Caenorhabditis elegans: one gene and its partner. The protein of the gene in region 1 purifies or fractionates together with the protein of each later gene. This does not show direct contact. Each region holds a gene or a part of one and is shown in the gene's direction. Other genes may lie near its edges.

The links.
Region 2: the proteins of mrpl-12 (region 1) and C25E10.8 fractionate together in Caenorhabditis elegans (co-fractionation; one large-scale study listed by BioGRID). This does not show direct contact.

The regions. Positions count from the first base shown.
Region 1 is NC_003281.10:10,704,019-10,709,824, forward strand, and holds mrpl-12 (Mitochondrial Ribosomal Protein, Large), read left to right. Parts: upstream 1-3,742; 5' UTR 3,743-3,748; coding exon 3,749-3,818; intron 3,819-3,866; coding exon 3,867-4,067; intron 4,068-4,125; coding exon 4,126-4,376; 3' UTR 4,377-4,503; downstream 4,504-5,806. Other genes in the region: Y39A1A.21 (ATP synthase subunit C lysine N-methyltransferase), read right to left, coding at 2,552-2,785; Y39A1A.22 (Xenotropic and polytropic retrovirus receptor 1 homolog), read right to left, coding at 1-1,287, 1,887-2,522; W09D10.5 (N-acetylgalactosaminide beta-1,3-galactosyltransferase), read right to left, coding at 4,595-4,632, 4,676-4,950, 5,548-5,652.
Region 2 is NC_003283.11:9,051,513-9,057,520, reverse strand, and holds C25E10.8 (TIL domain-containing protein), read left to right. Parts: upstream 1-3,451; 5' UTR 3,452-3,588; coding exon 3,589-3,591; intron 3,592-3,640; coding exon 3,641-3,692; intron 3,693-3,755; coding exon 3,756-3,826; intron 3,827-3,871; coding exon 3,872-4,159; 3' UTR 4,160-4,259; downstream 4,260-6,008. Other genes in the region: C25E10.10 (TIL domain-containing protein), read left to right, coding at 1,203-1,205, 1,258-1,315, 1,361-1,433, 1,476-1,552, 1,602-1,687, 1,733-1,829, 1,930-2,045; Serine protease inhibitor swm-1, read left to right, coding at 2,689-2,691, 2,739-2,787, 2,848-2,918, 2,969-3,253.

The DNA.
Region 1 (5,806 bases):
CGGCTTCACCGAGATATCACGCACCGCGCGGAATTGACCACAATTGTTGACATGCTCATTTTCAAGTCGGAAATAGTTCCAGATAAACCGACGGAACACTTCGAATGGTGCGGTTACTGTCGTCAAAAAGTCCGAGTCAAGAGTCCAAGCTTCTCCGAGCGAGACGTTGAGCACCCAAGCCAATCGGAGCACAAAATCCTGAGCGATAGCCATATAGTAATACCATTTACTACCATAGATCATTTCTTCACGCAAGAATCTTGCCTCCTTTGGAGCCCTTGGATCGATTAATCCCCAATCCATGAAGATATCCCAAAGGAAGGTGTAGGTAAAGGACATTATATAGGACAGAATCCAAATGTAGAAAAAGATCGAAGTGGTGTTAGGATCCGTAGCCTCGTAGTACTTGTTCAGGGCTCCACAGGCAACTACAAAGAAGGTCGTGGAATACTTTCCAGCATTCACTAAATGTGGATGTACTCGTTTTGTATCTCTATAACGTCTGAGGCACTGCAGAAAACGGATCATTGCCGGAATTATCGACATGAGGGACCGAAGACCTGCGGCAGAAGCACATTGATCCTTTCCATTCGACAACTCGACACTTCCCCAGGGAACCGATCCAGTGGTAGAGTTGATTCCCTTCACTTCAATCCACCCATTCGAGTAGTCAACTTCTGTAGCGTAAAAGCACACAAAGTACTGAAAGTCTAGGAATGCGGTGGTCAGTGAGTTCATTTGATCTCCAAGCCAGAAATCGGTGAATGTGACGAAATGGAATGGTGATGTGAAGCACTTGTAGCAATGTTTCAGAAGCCAGAATCGAGAATTTCTGTGGAATACCGAGTCGGGTTTGGCGATTGGATTCAGAAGAAGAATCAGACAAACCACCATTAGTGCTAATGGAGGTGCGAATGGTGGAATATGGAGCATATGAGCATATAGATAGGCGAGAACTGCAAAAGACCACAGCATAATCATAAAGGATGCGATTTGCATCAGAGTTTGATATGAGAGATGATTCCTGGGATCTACTTCAAAGATCAGAACGTGATTGACTCCAGCAGCAGCCCAACCAGCCATATTCACACCACAAAGGAAGATTGATAGGAAGAGAAGTAGTGGTCCTCGGAATAAACGAACGGCTACCCATTTTGGTTCTTGAGGTCGTGCTGGGGAGGCGATCCATGTTAGAAGTATTGCAAGGAGCAGGATGATGCTCGCACCGATGAAGAGGCCCAGGGAGAAGGTGGTGAGAGGCTTCTGCTTCTCCGAGAGTGGTGGTACCTGGAAAATTCGATTTTTTCTTCATTCCGGTTTTTTTTTAAATTTTATTTTAGTTTCTAAGTAAATTTTTTATTTGAAATTCACATTTTTTAAAGAAATTTTTATTCGGAAAAAACTGAATATTTTTTTATTTTATTTTTAATTTTTGAAAGATTCGAGTGTTTTTCTCGAATTTTTCGATTTAAAAAAAATTAATTTCCTTACTATTTTAAAAATTTATTCGATTTTAGATCAAATATTGATAATTTTCTAGGTTTTCAATTTTTTTAAAAATTATTTCAACGATTTCAGTCAGGTTTTTGTATTTTCTTTTTTTTTTAAACAAAAATTGAAAATATCACAATTTTTCCCTGGAAATTTTTATTTTGATTAGAAATTTTTTTTTCAGAAAAAATTCATTTTATTGAAATTTTTTATTATTTATTTTCAAAAAAACTTAAAACTACTATTCAGCATTTTCTTAGATTTTTTTTCAAAAAATCTCCGAAAAAAAAAACTGAAAATCGCTCGAAAATTCAATTTTTCATTGGGTTTTCTAAAGTTAATTCTGTTTCGTATAAAATAATCAATTTTCCAATTTTTTCAGCGAAATTTCGAACCTTAAGCCTCTTCATTCCAGCTTGTCGATTTCCAGCCTCCAAATCATTAATTACACTGGTTTCCACATTTGTGATCAGAGTTTCAATTTCTCGATTCAAGAAAAACGACGATTTTTCCACTTTATTAATCCGCCAGTCGAGTCCTCGTTCGTTGCCAGTGAGCTTGTCGTGTTTCTTTAAAATCTTCCGAAATCCGGTAGCATTCAATTGCTGAAAGTTCTGAACCAGCACCAGAGAAAGATAAAACTCGGAGAATGCGAGTTTCAGCTGCTGCTCATTCCGTGTGGTCTCCTTATGGAATTTGTCTTTTCCTCCGAACCTTCTACGGATCCCTGTGGTATCGCTGCGAGACCCAAGAACATCCTTGAACACTTGTAGTTCGGTTTGAAGCTCGTGATGTTTTCCCTGTCCTTCAGCGATTTTTTGCGAGAAGAATAGGTTGATCTTGGTGAGCTCTTGGTCGCACTCGTTGAAAAATTTCTCGTCGAGCCGGGAAATGTGCTCTTCTCGGCGGTCATCGTCGGCGGGAACCTCCATCATATCATCGTATAATAGATTTTTGAGCCGCTCATAGTCAATGTATTGTTTCCGCCACTCGGGCGTCAAGTGGCTCGCTAGTTGCTCGCCGAACTTCATCTAAAATCGGGAAAATGGGAATAACTTACAACACGGCCATCGCCGGAGCCTAAATCAATGAGCGTTCCCTTCTTGTTGCTGTTGCTGCTCGTGGCGAGTGAAAGTGCGCGGGAGACGTTCGCGAGCTGCTCCGTCGTTGCTGGGACGTACGGAATGCAGACGCGTCGCAGAGCGGGCGCCACGAACGGAATTGCGGCCGCCGAGATGGCGAGCGCCGTTGCGCCAGCCACACCGGCAATCACCAGACCTGTGTTCATGCCCATACTGCAAAAAAACACAATCTCGAGGGGAACACTCATTGATTTAAATCATGATTTTTTATTTGTTTTAAAATTTATTATTTTTAAGTTTAAATTATCTTTATTTTTCAAAGGATTATTGTTTTTGAATATTTAAAATTAAAATTCATACCCACCTTTATTCTTCAATCGATTTTCTTCGGAATAAGATGAAGTTTCTCATCAACGATTCAAATTTTCTACCTGAAAACAGAAAAAAAATGTTTAAAACGATTTTCAGGCCTAAAACAGTGCAAAACACTGGAAATATATCGATTTACGCATAAATTGCACTCGACAGAATCAAAATTTAAATTCGTACTTTTCGCGAAAAAGAGATAGACAACGAAATTCGATAAGGGCACATGCGACTAAAAATCGGGAGCTCAGTGCACCGGAAGTGCGCAAGCAGTTGATGATTGCGCAAACGAGTGGCTACTGGCGCGTTTTCGGATGGGTCGGATTTATTTTCTGCAATTTCTGTGCGATTTTTATTAATTTTTTGCGTTTCCCACCGTATTTTCCAACCAAATTTCTGAATTTTTATATAAAATTGTCGTAATTTGCATGGTTCCGACGTTGAAAATCACCAAAACCCAGGTTAAAATTCGTTTTTTAAAAAGGGGGTTTACTTTATAAAGATATGCAATTTTGGAATTTCAGTTTTGCTAATTTTTCGTGGTTTCTTAGAGTTTTTCTATTGAAGATTGTTAAAGATCTTGTAAAGAAGATGTTAAGTCGGTAAACATTGCAAAACTTTTAATTTTCCTCAATTTTCGCTAATTTTTTGCGTTTCTTTATGATTTTTATTTTAAAATTAGGTTTTTCGGGTATCGATTTGTTAATTTTTTAGCTAAAAATATATTACATAAACAAAAGTTTCTTCAAACTTATATTTCTCTCTTATTCCGATTAAAAACTAAATTACCTTTCAACTTCCAGGTAAATATGTTGTCCAGAACACTCCGACCGATCTCCAAGGTGCTCAGAAGCAGCGCGAAGTACTCCCAGGCCGCAGGTAATCTGAAAATTAAGATTTTCCTCAAAATCATATCAAAATTTTCAGGTCTTCCATTAAACGAGGGAAGCCCGGCACCATTGCCATCAGAAGACAGAGCAATCTCCGCAAAAGTCAGCTCGTTGGTTGAAGAAATCGCGAATCTCAGCCTGCTCGACGTCTCCGATCTTAACTGGGCTCTCAAGAAGCGGCTCAACATTCCAGATCAACCATTGATGGCTGCTGCCGCTGCTGCTCCAGCCGCTCAGGGTAAACATTATTTATTATAGTTTAATAAAATTATTTATTTATTTTCATTATTTTTCAGCCGAAGCGGAAGCCGCATCAGACGTTCCACAAAAAATGACATTCACTGTGAAATTAACGAAATTCGATGATACCAAGAAGATCGCAATCATCAAGGAGATCCGTAACGCCATTCCAGGCCTCAATCTCGTTCAGGCCAAGAAGTTTGTGGAAACCGCACCGGTAAATGTTAAGGAGGATCTTGGAAAGGCAGAAGCCGATGAGTTGAAGGCTATTCTGGAGAAGGCTGGAGCTACCATTGAAATTGTTTAATTTTTTGTTCTATATTTCCCTCTTTTCATTTGTTGTGTTCTCATTTTCTTCAAATTTTTCGTAGATAGTGTAGCATTTCTTTTTGTTAAGTTTTATTTTATTTTATGGAAAAATAATTAATTTCAAAAATAATTAAATTTACACCCGGCAAGAAGAGAAATACACGTCCCATGATAGAAATACTATTGGATAGATTCTGGAGAAGCTGCTGGAGAAGATCAAAAATCGGTAGTCTCATTTGAAGAAGTGTCAAGACCTGCAATTTGGGAAAATTACCGGAAGCCTGTATGGGTACAAACCTCCGCGTCCGAATACTTTCAGCGACATTCCGAATTGAAGAACTCGCATATCCTTTTCGGATAATTGGCCGAACGAGATCGCGTGGTCGGAACATTTTCCGGCTTTTGTGGGACTTGAACGGAACAATTTCGAGTCTGGCGCAATTATTTGTTTTGGTGGAAGATCGTTGAATAGTCGGAGAGCATCTTCATCAAATGGATCAGCTATCTGGACACCGTACTTCTCGCTGCAGTCGTAGAGAGCGAAATCCGAGGCTCGCGAGAAGAAAAATCCTCTGAAAATCATGAAATCAAACATTTTTAGAATTTATTCGGGAGTTTTCCAGAAGTAATTCTCTGATTTTCGATTTTTTAGTCTTCAAAAACTTTCGGTAATTTTGCAAATTAAATTTGTTACACTGATGCAAAACTTTGCGATATTTGCCCCAGAATTACGGTACCCGGTCTTGATACGACATTTTTTTGCTAATGTTGAAAGGTCTGCGCCTTTAAAGATTAGTGAAATTTCAAACTTGTGCTGCTGTGGAGTTTTATCGCTTTTTCATTGTTTTCTGCTGATTTATTTTTTAAACATACATATTAACAATCGTGAGAAAAACTATGAAAATAAATGATTTTAATGAAAATTCCACGGAAACCAAAGTTTTCAATTACAGTACTCTTTAAAGGCGCACATATTTTCGCATATGACCAAAATTTGTCGTGTCGAGACCAGGTACCGTATTTTTAGCGCAATATTTCGCGACTCGAAAATCCAAGTAAATAGTATTTTATTAAAATTTGATACACAAGGTGTAGGGTTCCCAGAAATTTAATTATTTTTGCGCGTCAAATTCGCTGTATTGGGTACGTAGCACTAAAAAAAATCTTACTTGCAAGCAGAAAGCTTATCAATTGCTGGATTTGATAGCACAACTCCACCACGAACGGAAATCTTCTTGAAGCTGCTCAGCGGGAAGAGCCAAGAGAATAATGTGCTGGAAAATTGCTGGTTTTTTGGAAAAGCTCGGCCACTGATTTAAATATTACGGGAAAACTAAATTCTGGGAATGCATATTACGCAACACATTTGACGCGCAAAATATAAATATATCTCGCAGCGAAAACTACAGTAATTCATTAAATGACTAC
Region 2 (6,008 bases), on another chromosome or scaffold:
CTAAATATTCACATTCACAACTACCAGATGCATGTGACTTTGTAACATGTTACGGTCAATCCATATGTATTCCTGTGCCTATTCCATGTATTAACAAGCCATGTCCTGTTGGCCCCGCTTGCAAGATTTTTGCATGTCCAGAAGGAAGCAATCCAAGAGATCATTCAAATTGTATTTTGCTAAAAAAATCGACACTGTGATGGAATTTTGTGAATTTCATACAGTGTAATAAATCAATTTTCAAATGTCAGAATAACCAAACGATTTCTAACAAACAATGCCAAAGTTTTTATATATAAGCTTGAGGGAATTGTCAAGAAGTTTGTAGACTTGCCAAAACTTGTACTTGAATAATCAAAAAGTTATTATCTGAAAGCTTCTTTTAAAAAATTTTCGACGGAGCAAACTGTTTTGAGAGCAAACTAACCACATAAACGTGTTTAAAATTATCAATTTTCAATAGGAGACTTCTCATAAATGAATTAGATTTAGGGGTATTGGAATTATTGGAACTGGAAAGTACCGTGTTTTATCTATTAGAATCACACCTATTGTTCGACTTTGGCAGCTGATCAGCGTATCTCAATTGTCGTTTGTTCTAAACAAAGATTGTTAGCTGACAAAATATTTATTGTTTGTTTCTTTTACTATTTTTTTCACAATTTGGAAACAACGTTAAAAATTTTTGAACGGCTGTACACAGTTTTTGAGTATTTTTGCGAGTTATTTTTATGAAGTTTCTGGCTTTTGGAGCTATTTTGAATATATTCAAAGCCCATCCCAGCAGTTAATCTTCTGTTCCAACAGTCTTGAGTTTTTGCTTGTATATAATAAAAATACTCAAATGGGCAACTTTCATAATAAGACTTCTCAAAAAAATTGCATAATTTTTGAGATTTCTCATTACCAAAATTTTGCCTAGGGCGCATTTTGAGTCTATTCAAGCAAAAACCGAAAACAGTTACTTCTTTGTTCTTCTCAGGCGTACTTTCGTAGAAAGTAATTTTGTAAATAACATATTTTTAAACTTAAAAAAACAGCACTCAAGAAATATTCCGGTCGGCTGAACTCTCTCCGGTCTCACCAAGTCATTAATCTTTTGACTCATCCTCGGTCTCACGCCTGTCAATTTTATTTCAATGATTGCTTCCTTCTCATAACTTCCCCACTCCGAAAGTTTCTTCAGAAATTCTTTCATCAAAATGGTGAGTGGTTTTTTCTTCATATCTTACAACAAATGAAAGTGTGTTTTTTCAGAATTTTCAATTATTTATTTTCTTTGCTCTTCTTGCTTTTGCTAGATCTGGAGTTCTTAGTGAGTACCAAGGTTTTATTTAAAAATCAAATGACTTATTTTCAGAAAACACAGAAAACATGCCCATTTCTCACACAGACGCACTCTGTGGTTCTATCAAATGTCCTGATAATTATAGGTTTTAATATTTCCAATTATAAATTTTAAAATATTTTTTCAGATGCGAACTGCCAGTCAGTGACTTGGAATGTGGTTCTGAAGACGATTGTTCAGTTGATCCAAAGTGCGTGCCAATCCGTAAGTGTAGTGAAACCAAAAATATCCAGTGGTTCTTGGAAACTTCCAGCAATCCGCAAACCGGAATGTGAGGGCGATGAAGAGCTCAAGGCGTGTGGCTCAGCGTGTGAACCGACATGTGATAACGAGAATCCAGTAAATCAACGTTGAGATTATGTATGATCATAAATTGTTTCTCAGGAATGTGATTTGGTGTGTATGACAAACGTCTGCCAGTGTAAGAAAGGACTCGTCAGAGACTCGGCAACTGGAAAATGTGTGGAGAAAAATAAATGCAGTAAGCTTCAAAATTTATTACTAGACTTTAACCAATTTAACCATCAGTGATTATTCGCTGAAAACCTGCACATAATACTAGTCATAAATTTTTCATTCAGGCAAATGCACTCTTGAATGCTCTGAGAACGAAAAATGTGAACTTGTGGAGCTGACTTGTGAGGAGAAACCATGCCAAATTGTGGACGTATGTGTTGCACAACATACCACTGAATAATATTTTCGATGATTAAAAAAAAAGTTGTTTTTCTCATATTTTAATATTGATGTTTTCATGCTAATGTTTTCAGAAAATTTAAAAATAACAATATTCGAATTTTAACATAATATTTGTATTCCTTTTCAATAGCCAAAAAACTTATGAACTATTCCGTGTTGCAATACAATGAATACAAAAAGTCAGTGTTAACCAAACAATGTTAAGTTGGTAATTATGGATGAAACACATTCGAAATACTCTCCAGTGAGCCAAGCCAAAACTATTTGCACCAAGCGATACGTTTTAAATTGATATCTTCTAGTGAATTGATTCATTAAAATCATTGGTCGGAATGAAATTTCGTAAGGTTCTCGATTTAATGTGTTTCTGATTTTTTCTGAATTTTCGAATACAAATTCTTCGAGATTTTTAAACCTTTGTTGTGAGCCCAATTTACAAAATAAATACGTGACCGGTGAAAGATAAATTTCTCTCCAAAAGATTGAGAAGACCTATAATATCTCCCATTCGATCTTATCATGTTTCTCGTATCATCCCTTCCGAAAAAAAGGGCGGTTCTGCCGTTTTTTAGTGTTCCGGCACAATAAATAGAGCCGTTAAAAAGCAAAACATCGGTTGGTTGCCCTTCGTTATTGTGAAAATGGTGAGTTTTTGAGTTTTTTTTCTAATATAAAAATTATACACTTACAGAGGATACTTGTCATAATCACATGCATCGTTGCTGTTGCTACCGCCACAAGTAAGTAAATATATGTGATTTGGTACTTGAACGGTTACCAGATCATAAATATTTTTTTAGAAACATGTGAAGCCAATGAGGAGCTGGTATCGTGCCATAATACATGTGAACCACAATGTGGATATACCCCTGTAACAATTAACTTAATGTGTCTCCCATTACTGAAAGTTTCAAAATTTAGAAAGCTTGCACGGAGCAATGTATCATGAACACATGTGACTGTAAAGACGGATTTGTTCGTAATTCTCTTGGAAAATGCGTCGAAGTATCTGAATGCACCAAGGAAACTACAAAATGCCCAGAAAATGAGACATTCTTTGGCTGTGGAACAGCTTGTGAAGCAACTTGTGAGAAACCAAATCCAACAGTTTGCACTAAACAATGTATCGTCAATGTCTGCCAATGCTCCAAAGGTTTCGTTCGTCATGGACTCAGATGCATTGATAAGAAAGATTGTCCAAAATAATTTGTTTTTGAGTAAACATTTCCAAGTTCAATAAACCATCAAATATTGGAAAAAATTCAAAAAGAAGTGTGATGAAGGAAACTGGAGTTGTGTGCTATTATTGATAACACAATTGTTACATCAGTATTATTTTTCCTGGCATGAAAAACTAAAAAAAACTCTGTTTGATCTTTTGGATTTATTGGTCATCGTTTTTTTTCAATGTCTATGTCTCTGGCAAACAAAAGGGCGGTTTTGATAGACTAGAGTCCTCTGCGTGATTTAGTGTTCTCGAACAATAAATAGAGTCATTTCAAAAGAAAACATCAGACTGCTGCATTACTTTTCTTTCTGTGATGGTTCGTTCTTTTTTTCATTAGAGCAATGCAAAAACTAATGAGTTTTTAGAGAACTTTTGTCATAATTGCCTGTTTTATTGCTGCTGCGACAGCTGCCAATAGTAAGTTTATTTTTAAATGATTATTGTTAAATATTTCTGGAAAATAAACATTTTACTTTTCAGAGACATGTGGAGCCAACGAGGAAATGGTTGCATGCCATGATCACTGTGAGACACAATGCGGATACACTCCAGTAATCTATAATTTTCCATGTTCTCCTATAATATTTAATTTTCAGAAAGTGTGTCTATCTGCTCAATGTATTGAAAACGCATGCGACTGCAAGAAAGGATTTGTGCGTAATTCACTTGGAAAATGTGTCGATATTTCCACCTGTACCAAGGAAACTAGCAAATGTCCGGAAAATGAGACATTCTTCCGATGCGGAACCGCTTGTGAGCCAACTTGTGAAAAACCAGGACCAAGACCATGTACCAGACAATGCATTGTAAATGTTTGCCAGTGTTCCAGTGGTTTTGTCCGAAACGGTTACAGATGCACCGAACTCAAGGAGTGCCCAAAGTGAACATTTTGTATTCACATTTGTGATAATAAATCGTTGAATTTCATATTCTGAGAAAAACCAACAAATTGCCAAATAGAATAACATTCGGTTACCATGAACTGGAAAAATGGAAACGAATTTATATTTCTTTTTTGGAACAAAACACAAACAATGCCGTGATCGTGATATCATTCCGATGGAAAACTGTGTCCGATCGGAGTACACAAAGTTTTCGTTTTTGGGTACAGATTACCTCACTAGAGTATTGAATTTCATTTGGTCTTATAGGTTCGATGCTACACACAAAACTTTTTTTAGGATTGGCAATTGTTGTTTCATAAACATTCCAAAAGCGACAAAAACAGACAGTTTAAATGTTGGCATCATATATTTTTTTGGAAAAAAAATTCGTTAAAAAATGCGTTAAAAAATTTAACCGTGTGGCAGAGCTGAGCTCATCCCCTACTTGGTTTCTTAATATAGGAACATACACACAAAAAACAAATAAGAAACTTAAGCAAGGAAATTATTCAAAAAAAGATCAATCATTCTTTTGTAATGTCTAGGTTAGAAAATGTCGTAGACGCTTAAAACTTTTTAATTCAAAAATCACGATTCTTTTACAGCAGCGTTTTTTCCAGGCACATTCTGGAAAATGAAAGACTACGCTATTTTACGTGAGCATTTGCAATTGTTTTCTACCTCGTAAACATAAAAATAATCACATTCATAAATACCAATAGGTACGCGTCAGAAAGGTTCTGCCAATTTCTGCACAATATCATTTGTCCCAGAAAAAATTTGGCAAAAGTTATAGGAAATTAATTTTTCCCTTTACTTTATATTTTTGAAACTTTTGACTTTCGACGCCTTTGTTAGTTTTTCTATTTAAACACATGACGTTTTCATGCCGTCATAGTATTTCGCTCATTATTTATAAACACGTTAATTATTGAAATACACATCTGACAATGCTCGAGTCTACAATTTTGAACCTCCGAGTTTGTATTTTGTATCAAATGCATATACTAAGAAATAAGTATGACAAAACATAGTGCGTAACTGAATGTCTCAATATTATAGTTCACTACAATATTACTTCAAAAATGAAACGAATTCAAATATAATATATACGTTTAGGTCTATACTATTTGAAATGCCAAAAAAACGTTTAACTTGACCTTTTCAATGACGCTTCAAATTTCACACCTACCGATGCGCAAAAGGAAATAGATTTTCGATGATGCAAAAAAGTGAGAGGCTCAAATTTTTTTTCGAGACCGCCGTCATTTTTGAATTGAACTATGAAGTTAAATAACTGCGTCTGTTTAAGCCCGTTAACAAAATGTATATTTTTTGTTTCGGGACTTTTGAGTTATACCTTTCTGCCAAAAAAATCGAATCAAAACTTTGATTTTAAGAATGCACTTACTTCGAAGTTAGAAAATTTCATGAGCAGATTTATTCGATATTCTGCGTTACCAAAAAAGTATTACGTACTTTCCATAATTATACATAAAATTTACGTCAATAAGCTTTTTGCACATCTAAATTATTGAGACCCGTTTTGTCTTCCGAACTTGTATCACTTTTCACTGAATTCCGGTACGATTTTACTAAATTACTTTTCAAGGAATCCATTTTATGCTGACATTTAGCAGATCATATATGATTTTTGAACGCAATTCACCTGTCTAGTTTCTAGGTATTTTTTAAACTAAAGTTTTCCCGTTTGACTGGTATATAAGCTCAGTTTTGGAAACGGTTTTATCAATAAAGTTATTTTTACATTTTTTTCAATAAAAAAAGTTGTTCTGTACTGAAAGCTTAACATCACATATTCAGTATTCAGATAATGCAATTTTATTCT